Linked DNA regions of Mytilus edulis. The protein of the gene in region 1 purifies or fractionates together with the protein of each later gene. This does not show direct contact. Links are inferred from orthologs where the notes say so. Each region holds a gene or a part of one and is shown on either strand. Other genes may lie near its edges. The genes, in order: activin receptor type-1-like and bone morphogenetic protein 7-like.

Region 1 (12,207 bases):
TGCTTTATCAATGATCAACACTTTGAGATGCAGCGATAACCACATGAGCCAGTGACATCAGATTTACAAGTCGTGCTTTTTCTTTATCTGTTCTATACATTGTTATGAGGGTCTTCATTTCTGGATTCTGTAAATTTGCATGCAGCCATTTTGTTTTCTATTTTTACATATTTTGGTCCATTATTTTTTCATTTTTTTTTGGGGGGGTTAGCAACCTATCACTTTTCTTCTTTTATAATTTTGGTCCACCTTTCTCTTATCTTTATTGATTTATGCCAATTATTCTGTACATTTTGCCCATTATTCACTTTTCTGTAAACCCCTCCAGACCATCACATATATGATAGATAAATAGTTGATAAGGGCCGTTCTTGTCCTCCATTTTATTCTAACTTCAGTGAAACAATGAAGGTTCCTTTCTGCGTAGTTTTCTTAGTGTTTGTTTACCTGGCAGGTAATTGACATTTTTAACCTGTATTAAGAAACTCATAACTTTATCTCATATAAAAGCATTTTAGTTTTTTCACTACCTGCGATATTCAACAACCGTTTACGCCGAGTTTAAAAAGACCATTGAAATAGTTTTGCCAATTCTATTATTGCCCATGAAAAATATACAAGTTTATTTTTCACTTAGGAGACACATACCGATGTTTTTACAGGGAAATAGAATCTTTAAAATTTTATTCAACTTTTTTTTAATTATTACATTTAATTTTTTAAAGCCAAAATTGGATATGTAGGCTATACACATTTTTATTATAAATGTTTTATTTTACATATCAATGAAAGGAGACCTGAGACAAAAGTCTGAGAAACAGCAACCCTACAACACAAACGAGTAAAAAAGAAAACTAGATATATTTTAATACAAAAATATCTTTTAAAGTGCTTCACAGATAAAAGATCCAAATTTGCCACTTTTCATTTGTAACCGTGTGCGATTATTAAGCTTGTCTACAGTGCATCCGTCTTTTACTTACCACTAACATTTTCTTTTTTTTTTAACTGCAATTTCGAAAATAATTCGTCAGTTTTACTCCGACCGATTTATTGCTATATCAAGTAGTATATGTCAGTGTATGTCATGAAATTACGTGTCAAACAGAACCTACGATATAGGTTCATGGGGTAAATGCCTTAAGAAATTGGGATTGGAAAAAATGTTTCAAGACATTCAAGAAAAAAAAAGGAGTTTAGAAAAAAAACACCGGATAATTTGCCGTGTGGCCTAATCGTATGCCTTATTTCAGGTTCTACGTATGCTCAACTAATCACACCAACGATAGCTTGTGAGATGAAATGCATTCATGACAAGACAGGCGGTAGTTCAGTTTCTTTTGAATCACAAATCTATACAGACTGTCGGGATTACTGTTTGAAACATGCGTAAGCCATTTTATTAATCAATCAATCAATCAATCATCAGATGGAGGTTAACATACCGGGAAAAAAGAAATTTGAAAATTAAGGAGTGTTTGTTATGCATGTTGGCTATTAAGACAACAGAGACCAAATGATACAAATGGATGTAACTGTAATCCATTGTTTACGGTCTAGCTTCAACAAAGATGTGATGCTACATGTATGTTTTCTTTTTTTTCAAAATCGAAAAAGCAGACTTTCACTTCTTCTTACTACATTTGTATAAACTTCAAGATTTACCTGTATATTTTTAAAACTGGTTTTTTTTCTAAAGTGAATATTTTCGAAGGGTTAAATATTTCGCAGTGGTGACTTGCCATGGCTTTGTTTGGACTTGTTTGTTTGTTTTTTTACCTTGAATTTTTGTCCCTAATATTTTATTAACTGTGCATTTGCATTCAGATATCGCAGATCAAATTTATTCGTTAATAGTGTATTAATGTACGTTTTTTGATTGAGTTAAGCCTGCCAATTGATATTTTACCGTGCGTTTTTCTATGTTGGGATGTTATGCTATTGTTTCAGAAAAAAGGGAGAAGATTTGGATCCATTAAAACGTTTAATCCCGCTGCAAATGTTTGCACCTGTCCTAAGTCAGGAATCTGATGTACAGTAGTTGTCGTTTGTTTATGTAATTTATACGTGTTTCTCGTTTCTCATTTTTTTTATTTTGTATAGATTAGACCGTTGGTTTTCCCGTTTGAATGGTTTTACACTAGTAATTTTGGGGCTCTTTATAGCTTGTTGTTCGGTGTGAGCCAAGTTATTTGGATGGAGAGTTGTCTCATTGGCACTCACACCATATCTTCCTATATCTATTGAATAAATTCTAATGGTTATATGTAAACCAAATAACCCTATCGTTCATGATATAACTATCTCACTTACAATATCAAAAGGATCATGACTGGGCGTTGGAGAGGAAAGAATTATTCGAGTTGTTGATAAATTGAAATTTGATAAATTTGATTGGGGAAAAAAAAACACCAATAGAATTTTTAAAAAAATCGTAGGAACAGCAAACAATTACTTAAGGAATGACTGTAATAATACGAGCGTAGCGGGCTATTTAACAGTGTGCACCACATTTTTATGTTATTTCGAATAGACAGAAAAAATATTACAGTCATTTCTTATAATTTAATTCTAAATTCCATTTTAAACCGTAGAAAAGCATGAAAAAACATTGATGAAGTCACATGACTAAATTATGCCATGAGCTGATAACAAAATAACGTCAGCCAATCAGAAGACGCGTTACTTCCAAAATTAAATTATATCGCAATAAAACAAATGAATATGAAAACTGAGTTTTTACATACAACATATTAATGATACAATATAAGTAAACTGAAATATTTCTACTTACTAAAATTGAGAATGGAAATGGGGAATGTGTCAAAGAGACAACAACCCGACTAAAGAGCAGACAACAGCCGAAGGCTATATATACCAATGGGTCTTCAACGCAGCGAGAAAATTCCGCACCCGCGCGTGAATGCCTCAGCTTGCTAGCTCCTAAATAAAAGTTCATGAAAATGAACGTCACACAATGAACTAAAATTAAAAAAACACACGACTGACAAATAGATATAGAAAGATGAGATATGAGTGTCAATGAAACAACTCTCCATCCAAGTCACAATTTATAAAAGTAAACCATTATAGGTCAAAATATGCTCTTCAACACGGACACCGAACAGTAAGCTATACTGAAAGGGCCCCAAAAAATATACTAATGTAAAACCATTCAAACGGGATAACCAACGGTCTTATTTATATATATATACAATCTAATTAAAAACCGATCTCTCATCGCTCCCGTTTTCTGATATGTCGCGTGGGAGATCTAACGAAACCTGCTTTGAGGTAACAACAACAACAACAACAACAATTTTTATTTGTCAATCAAGACGCCCCGAGGAGCAGTACAATTACAGTTTAAATTAAAGTGTACAAATAATTGTGTTGATTTTTTGTCACATGTGAGTGAACTGGAAGCTATGAATTTATAACGATATGCAAATGAGTTGACGACCTATTAATAAGCCAATCAAAAAAGTTTATGAATTATTTTGACTGACAATTTCGTCGTAAATAAAATGAGTTACATCCCTTTACCTTACGATAACCTTTCAAGATCGTGGAAGACTCAATTTCATTGGCCGAAAAAGACACACCTACGAGGTCACTCACATGTGACCTCAAAGCGGGTTTCGTTAGATCTCCCACGCGACATATCAGAAAACGGGAGCGATGAGAGATCGGTTTTTAATAAGATTGATATATATAAATTAACAGAAACGAGAAACATTCATAAACCCCATCAACAAACTACAATTATTGAACATCATATTTCTGACTTAGGACAGGTGCAAACAATTGAAACGGGTTTAAACGTTTTAATGGTACCAAACCTTTACTTTTATTTGAAACAATAATAGTGTAACATCACAAAAAAGATCAGCACATTATAAAATATCAATTAATAGCTATTTCTATTTCAGATACGATAACTTGGGAAACTTAGGAACACTTGGATGAGCAGTATATATGTTACTAGCACAGTGACCGTACTAAAGAATTAAATATTTAATAAAGAATTCATTTTCACTCTTCAGTTTCATTGTACTTTATGTACACACTTCGTGACCAGATATATATATATATAGAGCATACTAGTCTACGCATGTAAAATTTCTTGTCTGATATCGGATTATATTAAACTGTGCACCACTTATTGCGGACCTGTTTTTGTATTGTTATGAGTTACAATTTATGACTAAAATTAGCAAAGACCCATCAAAACAACATTTGATACAAAAATTTAACAATACTTTTAGATATTTGGATGATATATTGGCTCTAAATAATGACGACTTCAGTATGTATACTAAAGAAATTTATCCTGTAGAACTTACTTTAAATAAAGCTAATGATAACAATGACCACTGCCCTTTCCTCGATCTTGATATCTATATCATAAACGGGAAGCTTACTACAAAAATTTATGATAAAAGAGATGATTTTTCATTTCCTATTGTTAATTATCCATTTTTAGATGGTGACGTTCCCTTGTCACCATCTTATGGTGTTTATATATCTCAACTTGTACGATTCGCTCGTGTATGTAACAATGTATTAGATTTTAGCGAGAGAAATTTATGTATTACTGAAAAATTATTACACCAGGGTTTTCGATATCACAAACTGGTCAAAACATTTACTAAATTTTATCACCGGTATAAGGAAATAATTCGTAAATATAACTCAACATGCAGACATCTTATACGTTCAGGTATTTCACATCCAAAATTTTATGGAAATATTCTTTATAAAGCACAAAAATGTCAGTATTCTCCTCAGAAACTAACAAAACCTTTAAATAGACTTATTAAAAGGGGATATAGTTACGATACTGTTGTCAGGTCATTAAAGATTGCATATTCTGGCTTTAACATTGATTCACTGATAGGGTCTTTGCATCGGAACTAAACACATTTATTTCTAAAAAAAAAAAAAACAGTTGTTGGCATGACACGGGTTATGTTCTTCTCATATATTTTATGATAGTATGATACTAAACCCCTAACGGGAGGGATTGTACCTGATATTCATATGATGAAGACATAATCTTTCAATCAGTTTAATTGAGGTCTGGAGCTGGCATGTCAGTTAACTGCTTATAATATACGTCCCGTTATTGTGCTAATCACGGTAAAACGTGTTTGTTGGTTGTCTTTCATTTTTGCTTTGTGCATTGTGTTATTGTAAAGTGGCAAATTTGTGTATTCTTGTCTTTAATTTTTGCTAATATTTTTTGGTGTTAAGATTATAACTTTAAGTTAATGTTGATTGCTGTATATTTGACATTTTTACTTATTATTTGTTTTGTTCAAGCATCGTTGTCAATATAATGGGATTTGATGCGACTGTCATACAAACTTGTGAGAGTTTTAGCTATAGGTATAAAACCAGGTTCAATCCACCATTTTCTACATAAGAAAATGCCTGTACAAAACCAGGAATAAGACGGTTGTTATCCATGCATTCGTTTGATGTGTTTGAGCTTTTGATTTTGCCATTTGATTAGGGACTTTCCGTTTAGAATTTTCCTCGGATGGAGTCAAGGAAAATAGTTCCGGAACAAAAACGATCACTGTTTTTTTTTTTAAACACGTACGTAAAACTGCGTTGCACTTTTTGTTGTGTAAAATATGGATCATTTTATCAAAAATTCCTAAAGCTACACTTCATAAAATTATCTATTTCTTCAAAAATACAATGAACATATTATCGGCCATATGCCTTTAGTTTCTGAACTTATGCCATAGTATTGGAGCTTTCAAGAATAAATTTTAATTAAGGACATATTATTTCTCTCGCTAATTGATTATAACTTAGACTATTATTCTAACTAAACGTCTCAGATTTTAAAATTACATCACGTTGATTAAGATTATCGTCAATAACTGCTGTGCAAATAACATACAATTAAAAAAAATGTAGCTGCTTATCATTTAATTCGGCGGAGGACATTTTAGCGCATTGATAGGACATATTAGCGAAAATATTTGACGTTTTAGCACCAAAGTAGAACCCATTTTAAATAGCGCCAGAACTTTAACCCATTTTAGCGTTAATTAAAAATTTCAATGCCTATCAGTTTTGCGAAATATATTTAACCCATTATAATATATAATAAATAAAAAAAACTTTAAAAGACTCCTGCAAGACAGCACAATATAATACATAGGTGTCCATTAAAATACAGCACTAACTGTCTAAAAGATTTAATCAATTGGCAAACGTTCGTTCTAGCCTGGATTTTATATCCTAGAGAAAGTATACGTAAATGGCTCTGGATATACCACTAACCCGAATAATTCAGTCGTTATATTCCGCTGATCTACGAAGGCTATATTAACCTCGTGTGGGAGAAAATCGGACACGGAAAGGGCTTGAATTATTCGAGTTAATATACCCCCGGTACAATACTGTTGAATTACATTAGGAACTGTCTTTCTCTTTATTTTGTCTAGATTTTGGTGAACATTCGTATTTTTATAAATGTCTAATCCAAACAATGTTTGTGTTGTCAATAATTTTTATTAATGTCATCAGTAGCAAGGACGTATATGTTAGTTATACGTCCTTGTCAGTAGTAATCTGAAACCCGAGCTGAAAATATTATTGGGAAAACGGACCTTTTTCGTCTGTATTTAAAGATGCTTACGTGTTGGTGCTTGGTTAAATCTAATGTACAAAAACCATGAAAATCACTCATCTGGAACATAGACCTGTCATGGCGAAGTTACGGTGATCATCATGTGGAAAATAGAAATTTTAGTGGCCTTCTCTGTGTTTACTCTCATTTGTGGTAAGTTTTTATAGAAGGGAACAATTGGTTATAATTTTCTATAGCTAAAATATTGTCTTTAATGGCGCTGAATCGATAAGTACATACCATCTTTCCCGTTTCATTGTTTGTAAACAAAGTGACACTGAGGTAGTCTTACAAGGTACATTGTGTATGTAATCTACACAATGTGTATAACACATTCATTATCAAAATTAAATTCTGTTGCATCTGTGTGACTGTCCAGTTATTGGAAGTAAGGGATTATGGATGTTAAAACTTTACAGTTTGTCTGTGATAGACCCCAGACTTCATGGCACCTTTACACAATAATAAACAAATGGGTCATTTTTTTCTTCACTGACTTCAGTGAAAAAATATCTAAATATGGAAATGTAAAAATTGTCGGAAATTACCAATTAGATTTTTTTCGTCTGAACTTTTGAAGAACATTTTTATACTACATGTATAACATTTGTCAGCTGAGTCTTTTTCCTATAAACATGTTATACCATGTGTACTACATGTACTATGACATAGAATTGTGAAAAATTTAGCAAAATTTCCAATAAATGAATCCATTATCTTGAATTACTGAGAAGTTATAAGCCTATGAAAACTAAGTTTTTAGCACTATCAAATGAATACACAAATGCGGGATTATTACTCATTTGGGGAATAGTTCCCCATTACCATTTGGTGGGGTGTCCCCTACCTGTTAAATGAAATCTTGTATCATTTTATGCATGCACTGGTGGAGGCACAGGTACAAGCACGGAATATTTTACAGAATTTTAGCTTAGCTTCATAAATATCCTGTACTACTCTACCAGTGTAGATTGGAGTCTTTCCCAATGTTGGACCGTGAAAAAGCAGATAACTATCAACCTGATCAAGACGAAGTTTTTTTATTGCATATATTAAATTATCAGATTTTTGAGACATTTTTTTCATGTGCAAAATATGTTTGATTGATTAAAAAAATTTAATTCATGTCACTTTTGTGCAGGGTTCTCACTAAGGCGAGTCCATGAGTCCTGGACTCATCAAAATCTCTCTGGACTCATCATTTTCAAAACTAGTGAGTCCACAGATGCATCAAGATAGAAATATTTTGTATAAACTAAACACAGTTAAATACAAATATCATCAGTTTATAGCAAAAGTTTAAAAGTAATCTGAATTTAATGTCATTTCATTGCTCTGTTAGACCATGAGACTTAAATATTACATTATATTGCAATAAAATATCTTCTCCTTGCTGTTGGACTCACCATGGCCAAAAATGACGAGTCCCTGGACTCGCCTTCTAAAATCCATAATGAGAACCCTGCTTTTGTGTACACTTGTAATGTATTAAATCTGATAAGGGGAGATAACTCAGATAATTTGACTTTTTGAATGCATTTTTTTGAAGCTATATTCAGCACTTTGTAATTTATTTTAAATTTTGTCGTTATATTTATAATTTCTAAATCTATTTTTCTGTAGAATGCTCTTTAAATTACCTGTTAAATTGTTACGAAAAATGTGAATTTTCACAATCTGTAGCTAAAAACAAGCTTTCAATAAATGAAATTATCTGAGTGATCTCCCCCTATTGAATTTATATAATTTTGGAAACAGTTGATTTGAATTATGCTACATGTATATAAAATTGAAATTGAATAAAAAATCTTGCATTTTTTACATGTTTAACCAATATCTTAAACAACAAGTTATTATTTTGCTTTTTAAATTAGTTGTTTAAATGAGGTTTTTTTTACAAGAAGACCTATGACAGATCATGACGATGTATGACATTTTTGCAAAGTTGGTAATTACTAGACTTGGATTATTTGGTGTGTTACCCATATTCATAAGGACACAACATGTATCATACAGTTATATTGCATGCATAGCTAGTTGGCATACATACAATGTACAATGTATAATGACTAAAGATCTAGAGGGTCTCTAAAGGATCAGATTGAGAAAATAACAGGAATAAGAAGAAATAATCTCATCTGACTGATGCAGTAACAGTTATTGCAAGTCAAGAGCCTCTGGCCTTTGTTAGTCTTGTAGGATTTTTAATTTCAGTTTTTTTGTGTATAATTCAGAGTTTATTATGACGTCCATTATCACTGAACTAGTATATATATTTGTTTAGGGGCCAACTGAAGGACTCCTCCGGTTGTGGAAGTTTCTTGCTGTGTTGAAGACCCATTGGTAGCCTTCGGCTGTTGTCTGCTCTATGTTCGGGTTGTTGTCTCTTTGACACATTCCCCATTTCAATTCTCAATTTTATGTATTCCAAAATTTCAAAAATGTTCTTGTAAATAAGCTTAAGCTTGTTAAAAATTTCAAAGGCCCTTTGGTGGGGAAAATTTGGTTGATTATATAGAGAATCACTGAAGAATGATGGGAACTGGCCCCCCTTTAGGTCAGTCAGTGGCCCCCCATTTAAAAGTCCTGGATCCATGATGTAAAAGAAACACAAATATGGGGTACCCATCAATGACACTGTCACACAAGATCAGTACAAAAATACACATATAAGAAAGAAGATGTGGTATGATTGCTAATGAAAAAACTGTCCACAAGAGACCAAAATGACACAAATTAACAACTAAAGGTCACTGTAAGGCCTTCAACAATGAGCAAAGTCCATACCCCATAAGTCAGCTATAAAATGCCCGAAATGACAATGTAAAATGCACCGTAAAAAATATCATGAATATGCACACACAAAGCAAAGGAACAGCACATACAACATGCATTTATATACATTTCTTTTATTTTAATGGTAAAGATTTATGCTTCGTCCCTGGTTAAACATAAATTTAATTACACTGAGACTCTTCATTCTAATCTACCTACATATATACATGATATACATTTTGTGTTCATGATACTATTCTTTTATTTTATATATCGTAATTTAAAAAGCTGGCAACAGAAAGGTGGTAGGTTGTTGGATAAATTTATTTTTGAACGTCACTGCACCTGAGAAAGTATAATGAAGTAAACCTTTTTTTATCCTAGTATGCATTAGTGAAAGAAATTTTCATTTATTTGTGTTTATTCAATAAATCCCCCAGTAATGTAATTAATTTTTAGAGGCGTGATTTTCACGCGATTTTTACTATGAATTATATTAGGACACCTGGTGAGAGTTTCAATACAGTACCAATTGAATTGACATCTATATTCAGCGCTACTGATCTCTGCTTGTAAAATCTTCGCCATAAAATGTACCTCGTATGGTGTACCACGTTGACATAAAGACGAAAGAAGCAGAAACGTCGTGTTTTTCTTTCTTTTTCGTCCATGCAGTACTAATCTGATTACAACAGAAAAATGAATTTTATTAGCTTTTTTTTAACAGATTAAATTGTGTAGGAAGTTATTTAAATTTTTTAGTTTGAGAGGTTGAGAAATGAACAGTTAATAATATAATGATGATGATTTAGAAAAATCTGATTACAACAGAATAATGAATTTTATTAGCTTTATTTTAACAGATAAAATTTTGTAGGAAGCTATTTAATTTTTTTAGTTTAAGAGGTTGAGAAATGAACAGTTAATGATCATCATGATGATATAATGATGATTATGAAGCTCGTTTTCTTCTCTTGAAATTTAACCTTTGTTCATTTTCTATTTCAACTTCTGGTCATTTAAGTAACATCCAGCCTGTCCAGAAAATAAGGATGCATTGTAAAATAATTTGAAGAAACATTATTTTCTATGTTAAAAATGGGTAGTTATATGTGTATATATACATGTTAACCATCATAAGGCATGATTTAGAATGAATTAGATATTGGAGTGGAGCAAAATATTTTTTTTTAAAAGTTGATCAATTTTAGATACACATGCTTATATATGACAGGGGCAGATCCAGCCATTTGAAAAAAAGGGGGTTGGTTCCTAACCCAGGACAAAAAAGGGGGGGGGGAGTTCCAACTACATGTCCCCATTCAAATGCATTGATCGTCCAAAAGAAAAAGGGGGTTCCATCCCCCGGAACTCCCTGGATCCGCCACTGTATGCAGTCAAGTACCATCCCAGAAATTCAAGATATATATATATATATATATATATAAAATTTTATGAAAATATTTACTTAATGTAAAAAAGGGGTAGTTTCATATGTACATGTGCATGTTACTTTTTCTTAGACATGATTTGGAATGCAATATTATAGAGGAGCCAAATGATTTTTTTTTTGGAAATGCTGAACTAACTTTTGTTACCCATGGTAATTTTTTAAAATTTTCAAAATACATACAGATGTTAAAGTTAACCTCATCTACCAACGTTAAGTTTTTAATTATGAAAATATGCATGTAATATGCACCTGCACCTTGCATGGATGATGGATTTTAGACATATTTGATATATATGCATAGTGCTTTGTTCCGCTGATAAGTTTTGAAAACTTTTTTTTTTTGCACATGCATTTCCGACATAGTCACGTTAATAACTTTTCCATGTTCCTTTAAGAATTTGTCAAATATTTTGACAAGTATTAAGAGTAAGATTAAAGGGAAAGTTTTAATATGTTTCATTGAGATACGAATTAAATGTCGAATCATGAATATTTATTCACGGGTTTAAGTCCAGGTGTTTCCTGAATAGGATCAAACTTAATACCACAAAAGTTACAAGGATCGCCACCCCATATTTAAATTTCAGGCCATACAAATGTTATCTGTGTGTATCTAATTTAAGTTGGTTACCGTGAGATCGATTAATATAACTATTAAATACAGTGAATGTCTATGTATTATAGTGTCTTAGGACATCCATTTTTTTTGTACGCAAAAATCAGTTTAATATGAATAAAATGAGAATTTTTTTTTATTGGAATATTTAATGAAATTTAAAATTTAAAATTTTTAAACAAGGTCATATTTTCATAAGTGACAACAAGAAAAGTTTTGAATCTGCCAAAATAATAAAGTTCTGATAAAATATTTTGTATACCTTACGGTACATGTATATTTAATGCAAATTGCAGAATTTTACAACCGTGAAAATAACCCATTATAGAGCATTGTTCAGTATTATATATGACTTAATAATAGCTCTAAAAATTGGCCCCATTCTAGCAGAATTGTAATATTATTAATGGTAATTGGTTTATTGTGAGAATGGGTGCTAGGAATTTGTGACTAAAAAAGCATTTACAATTTTAGAATTAAGCTAATCAATGTTTTCAATTTGTAATGATGTATTATATATAGGTGGTCGTGTGGTCTAGCGGGACGGCTATAGTGCAGGCGATTTGGTGTCACGATATCTCAGTAGCATATGGGTTCGAATCCCAGTGAGGGAAGAACAAAAAAAAAATTTGCAAAAGCAAATTTACAGATCTAACATTGTTGGGTTGATGTTAAGAAGAGATGTTAAGAAGAGTTGTATATATATATACA
Region 2 (12,376 bases), on another chromosome or scaffold:
CTTTCACTACTTTTTCCTCAACTGTCACTTCACTAAAATCAAAGAAAAACGTCCGGTCTTTTTCGTGGCGTAAATGTGGAACTTTTTTGGCTGAAAAATAGAAAGTCGTTTATCATGATTATTGAATTAAATCAAATATTCTCGTAACTTTGTACGCTTAAACGTTTTGTTGTGTAGATTTTGTTTTTTAGCTTAACATTTTCTTTTTATTGGCTAATGGTTTGCCTTTCTTTGCATCTTAAAATGAATAATTTTAGACTAATCGACTAGTTTTGTAAAACAAAGATAAATATAAAATGGGGATACATTCCTATAGATTAGATGTTCGCTTTCATTAAACTGGTATATGGCGAAGGACATATGGGCTTTTCTTACGAAAGACCCCCATTCTTTCGATTGTATGTTAGAAAAATAAGGTACAGGTACATGTATGTTAAGATATGAGTTAGATTTCACTTTTCTGTCTATTTCTACTGTTCTTTTCTTTTGCCTATAGACTACATAGGGACACACGGTTCGACAATAACACTTAAAAGTAACAATGTTTAAGCATTCAAAAGGCGTATACTGAAATCTCATCAAAACGCAAGTACTTTTTTATGATGACCCGAGTGCATTTACTATGCAATAATATTTAATGAAATGCCAAAACTTCCAACAGAAAAGAGCTGCCAACATCTTTAACCCTATTTTATTAGTATTTAGTGCAAGATGAACACATGTAAAACCATCTGTAATTTAATTATACGTAGCCTATTAGAAGGATGTTTATTCAATATAGTAATTTACTGTTTCGGCCTTGAGCCAAAACGGAATTTTTAGACTAATGCTTCGGCATGTGATTGGGAATTCAAAATCTTGAAAAAGAAGGTATAAATAGTTTTTGAATTCTGAATACTTCATTGACTACACAAAATTAAGATCTTGATATAAAGTTTTTTTTTAATGTAGTATTGAATAAGTTTGAATCACGCCTAAAATCTTCATTTAGGCCAAAGCATAAAATTATGTTTAATGTGTCCTTAACTTTTCTGTATTGTCATACCTAACCTAACACATTTTGTAGACTATGGTGTAACACCAAAAACGTCTTGAACATTTACTTTTATCTCGGTGGCCGTGTGTATATATATATATATCAATTTGGCCTTAGTATATTTTTATTCCACGCAATCGAACGCTTGTGATGTGATAGGGATTGGATGGACAGATTAGTGTTTTGACGTCCTGTGGCAAATATATCATGTATTCTAGGATGTGACGAACCTATTTCTACTATACCGAACACGCTTATTAGGATTTAAACATGCTTGGTACATAAACGAAAACATGCCCCCACATACGATAGATGAATGGATTAGTACTTTGACGTTCAGTGGCAAATATTTCATGTATTTTAGAACGAGAACATGGTGTTATGATGTGAAAATTATCGAACCCTTTTGTACTCTACCAACACACTTCGTTGGATTTAAACATGTTTTACTTTTCTACATTGGCCGGAGGTACATCTGTATTCCGTATAGGGTGAGGGTTGAGATCTCATAAACATGTTAAACCCCGCCGCATTTTTACGCCTGTCCCAAGTCAGGAGCCTCTGGCCTTTGTAAGTCTTGTATTATTTTTAATTTTAGTTTCTTGTTTACAATTTGGAGTTAAATATGGCGTTCTTTATCACTGAACTAGTATATATATTTGTTTAGGGGTCAGTTGAAGGACGCCCTCGTGTGCGGGAATTTCTGGCTGCATTGAAGACCTGTTGGTGACCTTCTGCTGTTGTCTGTTCTATGGTCGGGTTGTTGTCTCTTTGACACATTCCCCTTTTCCATTCTCAGTTTTATTGTTAAATAAATAATAATAAAAAAACATACCCAGTCCCAATATCAGATGAGAGACAGGTGTCTTAGTGATTTAACATATATTTGATAAATGTACAATAGCCAGTGTCCATCCAGGAGAAGAGGGCATACACATAATTATTATGAAAATTATCATGGTATAAGATTTTTCAAAGCATATTATCGTCCATTCTTAATTACCCGTTTTTTTAGAATTTTTACAGAAAGCTTTTCAAAAATCACGGATCCGCCCCTGTTAGCCCATACACACGATTGGGAGATTTAGCAACGTTACAGCATTATGAAGACACACTCAATTGATTTAATGTGACTTTCACCATTCCCGCTACGTTTGAATAATACAGACCAAATCCGAGTTCAAGGAATAAACCATTGAACTCACTGCCCAGTGATCAACATTACAAAATAAACATTTGACCTTCAACTTATACTGTCTAGTGATCAACATTACAATATACTTGTATAAAAGTAACGACACAACAATTATCGGAAATATAAATTGAAATATTTCAGGACATTTCAATAAAATAAAAGTGTGGGTGAATTAAAAGAAATAGTTTATATCTAAAGTGGTTTGTACTGTTAGAAAGAAACCCATTGTACATGTTACAATTATACGTAATTTACTTGTAAGAAAGATATATTGACTAATTACTTTGTCGTTTTAATGGTCAAAACACCTGTGTTTTACAAAGGTAAAAATCAGTTGACATTTTAGGTTTGTCGTTTGTGAAAGGTACACCAATGAACGACATATACAAGTCTAATATAGGTAAAAAAAATAATCTTGTTTGAAATGTAAACCCTATAATCACGGTAATTATAGAAATTTTGTTGTCAATTTATTTTTGTTATCGTCGTGATGAACTGCGCAAACATACTATATTTAACGAATATATATATTAAAGAAAACATTTACAATGTCAGATCTATGAAAAACCAGCCCAGGGATTTCAACTCATATTAATAATAAAGAAATTAAAAGAAAAATTCTAGTACCATTAACTTTATAAGCCAAGTAAAGTTTTTTTTTAAGGTGATGAACATTGCACGAGGGTCTGTATGAGGGAAGATCATTACTGTGTATGAACATAAATTCAAGTGTTTTTCTATTTAATTAATATGTCTTTCCCGTTCTCTTTCCTTATACATGTTATATTTTACGCTCTTCATTATCATGATTATTCTCAATTCCGTATGTTTTGCCCTAATTTTCTTTCGCTATTTGTTTTCCTTAATTTTTCTGTAGATTTGCGAGTAATATTATTATTTACTTATTATTTCGTTGTATTTGTGGGCTGGTCAAATTGGTGATTATTTTTTTTCTCTCTCCATTAAATGAGGTCAACAAAATTAACACCGACAAATCATCATTATTGTTGTAATAAAGGGAAATTATTTCAAAAACACGGTTTGATTCTAAAATGCATGAAACACAGGTTATTTAAATACGAATTAAACCGATAATAGTATGAAAATCTTGAACTGAGAGCCCCCTTTTTTAACAGTCTAAAAAAAATATAAAAGAAAAATAAACATTTCTTCTAAACTTATTTATAAATACCACCTCTACAATATGTTTTACACGGAGAATGAATATGAAAAAGGGTTTTCTTTAAAAGGGGGGGGGGGGCGGTACATGTATTTATTTGTCCATTTCTTCTTTTTTAAAGTCTTATAACCATAGTGATAATAGTAATCTCAAATTGTATCTTAGAATACATTTACATAAACAAATAAGGACGGGATGTCTAGAAAATATATCTTAAATTTTGAAAACTCTTAACCCAAAAACAATGGCATGACAAAAAGGGAGACAATTCGCGCTCCCACATTCCCCCTTTTTCAGAAAAGGCATTTCACATTATTTATCTGTTTATACCTACCACGATTAACAAAACTCATGATAACGTCTGCACCTTGTATCGGTTCAATAATATCCCCAATAGATATATTCCCTGCTATTCTGAATGATGGCGTGTCATCTAATAAAATTCCATCCGCACCCGCAATAGTATTGTATAAATCTAACATAAAACGAGGCGCAGAATAGTCATTAGTATGCACCTTTGGCTTTGGTCGATGGTGTAATCCAAGCAGTGTCAAAATCTCTTGTTGGAGCTCTCGCTTACTCCTCGGGTTGATTTCATGTAATTTTTCCGTCTGATCCACACCATTGTCTATATAATATCCTGAAGACCAGCATACTATATCGTCTACACAACATATTAAAAGTACAACAACTATAGAAATGTGTAAGTTCACCACCATGTTAAATGTGTACCTATTTACCTGTACAGACATTCGCCCCATTCACGTTATTTACAAACATATACATTCTTTAGAACTTAGTCAGGTAAACACGTTGATTTAAGAACACATTTTAAATATAATCTCCATATGTATCCATTAATTATCAGATCGTAAGGATAAGTTTTAGAACTATATTCTCTCTATATTTCTCTAGCTATCCAAATGAAATCTATTTTTACCGCGTTAATTACGTTTTCTTTGTATTGAGTGGTTCCCCTGTCTGCACATAGGTTACACACATATAAACAGGTGAGATATACCGGTAAGTAATAAACAAATATCCCGACAGGTGCAGTATGGTTATTCATTTAACATACATCAAATATGTTAAAACTGTTTTAAAGTATTTGTTGATAGAAAGAAAAAAGAAAACTATTGAAGGGTGATATAACACCCCTCCCCTTTCCTCAGCCCCTTTCAATCTTATTTATTTTATTTTATTTATTTCAGTATACTTTAATTTACAGGTTAAATGAACTGATAACTGAAAAACAATACTTTTCATCGATATTTGATGACTTTGTAATTTCTTTTTTTTAAAGGCCGAATTAGACCTGCCACATGCACAAATTAAAATTAATGTAATATTTATTATCAAACCAGTTAAATTTTTACTCTATTTGCAATTCGATCAAACGTTGAAATTAATCTTCACTTATATAATTCAAATTTCAAAAATATATTGTTCAAAATATAATTCAGAAATGAAGGCAACTGCGGAAATGTCACGTATTGCCTGTTATAATAAAGTACGGGATTATCTATGAGCTTTAGAAAAAGGACGAAAACCGAGGCTCGCCGAGCTTTTTATATTCTACTGTTTGTAGCGAGTACAAATAAATTTGATATTTTTTGTCAATATATTGACTCTTCCCGTAAATTACACCAACACTTGAAATTCTAGTTTTCGAAAGAAAGCGACATCGTACATGTATAAACGCGGATCGCGAAGAGGGCCCCAAAATGAACTGTTACGCAAAGAAATATCCACGTTACCGCTTGCTCAACAGGAATAACAAGAGAATTTATTTCAAGTGTACAAGACAAAAATTGTATACCTGTTATTTGTACAATAGTTGGCTATTTGCCGCAGGATAAATGAATTGTCGAACCAAATTAAACAGTTACTGTAGTATAAAAGCCATCGTTCGTTAATTTGTACTTGAAATTTAGGTACTACAGATTCTTGGTTGCTATCGTTACATTTTCAGCATTTTGAAAGTTTTTCTATTTCAAATCTCTTAAAATTATGATTTTCAAACATGGAATATTGTATTATTTCTGTACCAAAATATTTAGTACAAATCAAGTACTGTAAAATACAAGTACCTAAATATTACAATTAGAGAAATAGTTCTAAATATTAAAAGTAAATTTCCAGTACCGAAATAGTACCTATGCAAAAGTAGCTGTGTATATTAAAAAAAAAAAGGAAATACAAATTTATTTGTTTTCTTGTTAAAAAAATTGTTGAAAAATCTACACTATCTCCCCTTATATCACAGTTTATCTTTCAATATTTATTTTAAGTTACATGTAAGTTCCGTGACATGATTTAAATGAAAAAGTTAACTACCAACGGTTAAGTAATTGGTGTCCAAGTTAGGCCCGAATAGTGGAACACAACCTCCTTATCCTAACTGTGCTAACCAATTCTCTCTCTTAACCCTTGTTGTCCTGTCCTATGATTAATTGTTATCTTATAGATATAGGAAGGTGTGGTATAGATCAAGGTACGGTCTTCAACACGGAGCCTATGTTCACACCGAACAGCAAGCTATAAAGGGCCCTACAAAATACTAGTAAAACCATTCAAATGGGAAAACTAACGGTCTTATGATATCTATAAAAAAAAAAACAAAAAAAAAACGGGAAACGAGAAACACATATAAACCACATAAACAAACGACAACCACTGAACATCAGATTCCTGACTTAGGACAGGTGCAAATAATTGCAGCGGGATTTAACGTTTTAATGGTACCAAACCTTCTCCCTTTTCTGAAACAGTAGTATAAAATCACATTATATTTATATTCGTGATCAGGTTGTTCCGTTACATACAGCCAAGACACCGCACTTACATGTACGTGTACTTTTGATGTACTAGATTTTTTTTGGTTAAACTACAAAGTCAGACGTATTTCAAAATACTAGAAATTAACTCAGCTCATTGATTAATCTAACCTGCAAAGTGCATTGATATATCTTATTTTATAACTGTCTTTTGATGTCTGAGGATGTGGGGATGTTTTGTTTTAATGCAATTAAGTAACCGCATAAACCCATGACGTAGTACGAATTATACGTCAATTATTCTGGTGATCTGTTGAATTAAATATTCTATTACAGTGTGTTTGACATGCATGTTTTTGTTACATCGACAAAGTTATGTAAATGCAATTAATAATTATATACAAACGTATTTGTTATCTTTAACTTAATCAACATGAAAAGGTAAATATATATAAGAATGCGAGGATTTTACATGTTTAAGTAAATATGTCAGTCTGAAAGAGGCGTTGCCACTTTCTCATTTGTCAATCCTCGTATACACGGTGGGTATGGTTGCCCTGCGAGAGAACGTTCTGTGCTGGTGATTCGGTCCTGACGGGTGCTGGTGATCAATGAAAAAATGTAAACAAAGACGAAAATGATGATTTTTGACGTTTTCACTCATAAAAAATGGAAGAAAACAGTTGAGACTTTTCAATTTTGTTTCTTATGGGTTCATATGTAAACCATTAAAAAGTTGACCCTCTAAACTGTTTCAGTAAGCGTAACACAAAAATGCTCATTTTCAGAAAATCTAGAACTGAAAAAATAAAACAAAAATGCTCATAGAGTCCGCTTTCTATACCGCAATCCACACGACAAAACTATTTTGTGAAAAACATTGCAATTTATTAAAATTTAGCATTTTCTCAATTTATTCATGTCCTGATACTGTGCTGGTGGGTCCTGTCATTGTGTTGGTGGGTCCTGATACGGTGCTGGTGATTTTGGATAAGAAGTTGGTCATATTTGAAACAAATGTTACAAAATCAATAAAATTGGGCAGATAATTGTTGTCAATAGGATCTATGACTCCTATTTTAGCTCTTGTGCATCCATTTGGCTGTTTAATATGTGTTTTCAAATGATCGTAACTAGTATTACATAATTACATAAAAGGGCAACATCTTTCGTCCAATAATGTTGAAGCATCAATGTAAGGGGCATTTAATATCTTAATAAAACTATTCTTATTTTAGATACTATATATTGTTATCTGATATTATATCAGATAACAATATATAGTATCTAAAATAAGAATAGTTTTAAGGGGCATTTAATATCTTAATAAAACTATTCTTATTTTAGATACTATATATTGTTATCTGATATTATATCAGATAACAATATATAGTATCTAAAATAAGAATAGTTTTATTAAGATAAGGCATTTAATATCTTAATAAAACTATTCTTATTTTAGATACTATATATTGTTATCTGATATTATATCAGATAACAATATATAGTATCTAAAATAAGAATAGTTTTATTAAGATATTAAATGCCCCTTACATTGATGCTTCAACAATTATCAAAGCATATGCCGCATAGACATGTTTGTTAGCGCTCCGCATATATTTATAGAAGAGCTGTAAATTCTAAAAAAAAAAAAAATCTTGTTGTCGTAGATGGTTAAAATGAATCCTCAACAAAATCTCAATAACTTTGTTGGAACGAATAAAGGCTTTAAATCAAATTTTTGTGGACTTTTTAGCTTTTACCCTGACGAGGCATGTTAGCTGTTCGTATGCTGTTGTACCTGACACACGGAAACTTTCACATTTCCATCTTCTTTTCTGAAATATTTTCCCCAGCTCATACTTGACAGGATTGTTATCATAGTAAAAGGTGAAACCAATAAATTGAACACAAGTTAAAAGTTCCACAATACTATATAATTCATTTTATGTGTCAATGGGCTCCTCACCCTGGTGACCCTGCTATCTTTCATAGCTCTATCCGTATACATATATTAATAGATACACAAATAGATACACAAAAGGCTGCAACTGGTATTTTTGTATTCAAAATGATTCGTTGTAACGAAATATTTGTGGTGAATGGAAACTGTGAGGGTCAAAATCTTAAATTGCTTATAAATGTTGCTGGACCCAGTTTCGTTATCTGATCTGAATTTTCTGAAATGTGCAAGGTAGATAGACCTTGGCCTTTTGATTTTTTGTTACTCGGTAGGTTTTGTCCTAATTGCTTGAACTTTTGCAATATTAAAGTCGATTTCAATGAGTGTGTAGACAAAGGGAATATCTTTAGTTATCTTGCTTGCTGAACAGAAAAGTCATTGTTGGGTTAAGTAAACTTTACGAGTAGACTAGTCCGACAAAGGACACATCTTTCTGTATGTAGGACCAGGCTACTTCGAAAGGAGGGTAGTATACCTTACTTAACAATGAATTCACGGTTTAGGTAACAAGCAAGCTAACCAAAGATATTACCTTTGCCTACATACTCAATGGAATCAGCTGTAAATAAAAACTCGAATACATTTTAATAGACATGCAGTGGTCATATTTGTTGATGAATATTGTTTTTCCTAGATTCACTCTTGAAAAATCATTTGGTAACATTTGGTCAAGTAATTTCAGAAAAGATCTTTTTGTAATTGCGGACGCCAAGACAATACACGAACCTCACACGACCCCTCGACACAGGTGAGCTTATATATGATCTTATAGCGATTCGGGTTGATAACCATTTGAAAGTAAGCCAGTTTTTTGTGTGTGTAGATTTGTATTGTTTTAAACTGTTATGACCTTTAAAAGTTAAATGTAGGTGTTTAATCTAAGAATTTCTTTTTTTTAAACTTATATACTTGTTTTATACTCAATTGGTAGTATGAAGCTACGAGATATTTGAAATATTTGAAATTGAAGGCACAATTAACAAAGCAAAGTAGTTTCAAATACTTTTAAATAGATCTTTATATGTACCCTTGTGTTGATCCCATGCTAAACATAACAAAAATCTCTGTACAAAGGTTATCTCGTCTTCATTCTCTGACATATTCTAGCCTGCCCTTTCATAAAATAGTGATTTTTTTTAGTGTTCTATCGAACTTTCGAAAAAAAATACCTTATAACCGTTCAGACAAAAAAATTATGTTGAAAAAATCTTACAGATACAGCAAGTGATTCTTAATAGCTATAAGATACATTTTTCTTTTAAAATACAACTTTTAAATCTTACGAGAAACTATTCCAAGCTTAAAACTTTCACTGTAACCTCGTTCTAACTTATCCCCCATCCCCTCCAAAAAAAAAAAAAAAAACCAAACAAACCCGCAATACTATTGTCATTCTTATAGTCAGCACTAAATTGTTCACAAAGAAATGTGTTTTAAGCTGCTAAAGACATATGATTCAAACGTTCAGAAAGTCCTTTGTTCTATATTTTTGCTCTCCATTTTTATGCAAAACCTTTTACATTTTTATTTTATGGGTTATTGTTGAAGGTCGTACGATGACGTATGGTTGTTAACACATACTTCCTTTGGTTTCTTATGGAAATTTGTCCATTGACAACAAACATACCACATCATCTACTTTATATAAGTATTGTATAAATTACAACGTATTTTGGTGATCTTGCAAAATGATCGTAATCCCGAAAATCGTAAACATATTTTCTTATCTTAAAAGGGGGCAAGAAGGGTTCCATTAACAGGCCAATATATAAGATTACAGTTAATTTAAAAAAAAATAAAAAAAATAGGGCTATTTTTTCTCTCTCATAATATTAACAGTAAACAGATTCACAACAATGTCAATTTCAAGAAAGCAGACAACAGTTAATTAGTCAATAACAGTATCAATGATCTTGAATATGTGCCATTTTTAACTAAAATATAAAGGCACAGAACCAGGACATAGAAGCACAGAACCAGGACCGTTTTTCTTATCACCAGCACAGCGTCAGGACAATTCCGTTTAAGGAACTTGCACGACTTTTGCAATATAATATTGTTGTAATATACTTTGCATGGTACTTATGACGAATCAGAGAAAAATTAAGCAACAAAACAGTCGTTTTATTGCCGTCCTGATACAATGTAAACAAACCCACCAGCACAGAATCAGGACCCACCAGCACCTGACAGGACCAAATCACCAGCACAGAACGTTCTCTCGCAGGACAACCATACCCACCGTGGTATAAATACGCTACTCTTCTTCACGGAATCTGCCGACTTGTGACGGAAGGCCACTGTCTGTTACTTTGTTTACTCGCATGCACGATGTATAAGCATGGATATTGAAAAAAATCTGTTACTTAAGGTATAGATCATCTAACATCTTTTTTCTTATTTTTCTAAGTAAGAAAAACTATAGTCATTATATACTGATTTATATAAACAATTCGACACACATACAATAAAGAGTAATGGTCATTACTTGACTGGATTTTATATTTACTTTTTTACACATTAAAGTATACACAAATAATTTTCAGCGACAGTGAGAAAATATTTTCGTTCAAACATTGAAAACAATTCATTGATTAAAGTCTGATATCGGAGATCAAAATTGAATGCACGGGTACACGGGAACTCGTACATCCCTAACAACTGGTGAAAATCGCTATATGCGATTCATATTTAGCAAACTGGACATGCTTAACGCTAATACTATAGAAATATTAAGAAATTTTCTTTTATAAAATGTGTTTTTAAATAGATATGTATGTTTCTTGCTCAATGTCTGTTTTGATCTTTTCAAATGATACTGTGTAACAAACCCACTATACGGTAATGTTTAACTCCATACGATTTGCTTTAAAGATTAAAAAAATCCTTTGCAACAGTTTTTCCAAAGAGTGTATATAAAATTAAAACATGTATATTTTACAGTTCACAGTCAAATAACCGTCAGTGGGTCTAATTGTTTCATGCAAATTAGATTACTTTAAAAATGGCATTTCTTTAATTTTGATAGCACACACTACATGTATTTCTGCTTCAATTTTTTTAAAATCATTACAAAATTTTAATGAAGTGACTACTTGGCATATTGTGCAGACAATTGTCTTTCTCTTTGAAGATTGCATTTGGGCATGAGTGTGCATGTTTTATTTTTGTGTCGTTGGGATGTTATATAAAAAGTAAAATCTCAAAAATACTGATCTCCGAGGAAAATTCAATCGGAAAGTCCCTAATCACATGGCAAAATCAAATAATAAAACACATCCAACCAATGGACAACAACTGTCATATTCCTGACTTGGAAAATGCATTTTCAAATGTAGAAAATGGTGGATTGAACCTGGTTGTATAGCACTAAACCTCTCACTTGTACGACAATCGCATCATATTTAATAATAGTGATAATGATGCGTGATCAAAACAGACACAATATGTAAAACTGTCACAAATAAAGGTAAACAGTCTAATCCGGTAGGTCACAGTCGTGAAAAGGGAACGGGATTGTAGTTACGACATAAGGAACATATCCGATATCATATAACAGATATTCCATTGATGTATACCCCATTTCTACATATGTCGACCCATACAAACTCTTGACGAAATAAAGGGGAAACAATTTAGCCTGCATGTATTATATATACCTATAGCTATCGCTTCTCATTATGGAGAAATATGAAGACCACATATACCTGTCTCTATTGAGAAAAAGAAGAAAAAAAAATACATCAGTAATTTACAGCCTTTTTAATTTATTACTTTCACCAATTGATAACGTGGTAATTGTCAGCATTCTGTCTTGGATTTGGATGGCCTGACGTCACTTCATAAACATCTACTGGATGTCCACACAACTGCATTGCAATCTATAATAGTAAAGTGATATGGTTATATAAATATTTAATACATTTTATATCATACCAAATCTCTTTACTTTTTGTTTATATTACTAGCTTTATCATATACTTAGACTAAATAACATGTGATTTTTACTGTATGAAAATAGCATTAAACTAACGTAAATTCCATATTTTTTTTTCGAACTGGTGCTTAGCGGGCTTAAATGAAAAGTTTATCACATGCTTCGATTGTTATCACATGCCTTTCCGTAACGTTACCGCATGGCATTCCGGTGATACTCGGCAAATTCTGGAAAATACACCTCAATGCTACGTTTTCTATGAAAATCATTACAAAGTAGTGTACAAAT

Evidence for each region.
Region 2: the proteins of activin receptor type-1-like (region 1) and bone morphogenetic protein 7-like purify together in Drosophila melanogaster (affinity purification with western blotting, with the first as the bait; 3 studies listed by BioGRID). This does not show direct contact. The link is inferred for Mytilus edulis from reciprocal best matches to the Drosophila melanogaster genes sax and gbb.

Annotation. Positions count from the first base shown.
Region 1 is NC_092357.1:58,497,980-58,510,186, reverse strand, and holds the start of activin receptor type-1-like, read left to right. Parts: upstream 1-6,683; 5' UTR 6,684-6,753; coding exon 6,754-6,805; intron 6,806-12,207.
Region 2 is NC_092355.1:13,259,877-13,272,252, forward strand, and holds the start of bone morphogenetic protein 7-like, read right to left. Parts: upstream 4,395-12,376; 5' UTR 4,173-4,394; coding exon 3,746-4,172; intron 91-3,745; coding exon 1-90. Other genes in the region: uncharacterized protein, read right to left, coding at 11,928-12,032. UniProt on the Drosophila melanogaster protein: Required for the growth of imaginal tissues and for patterning of the adult wing.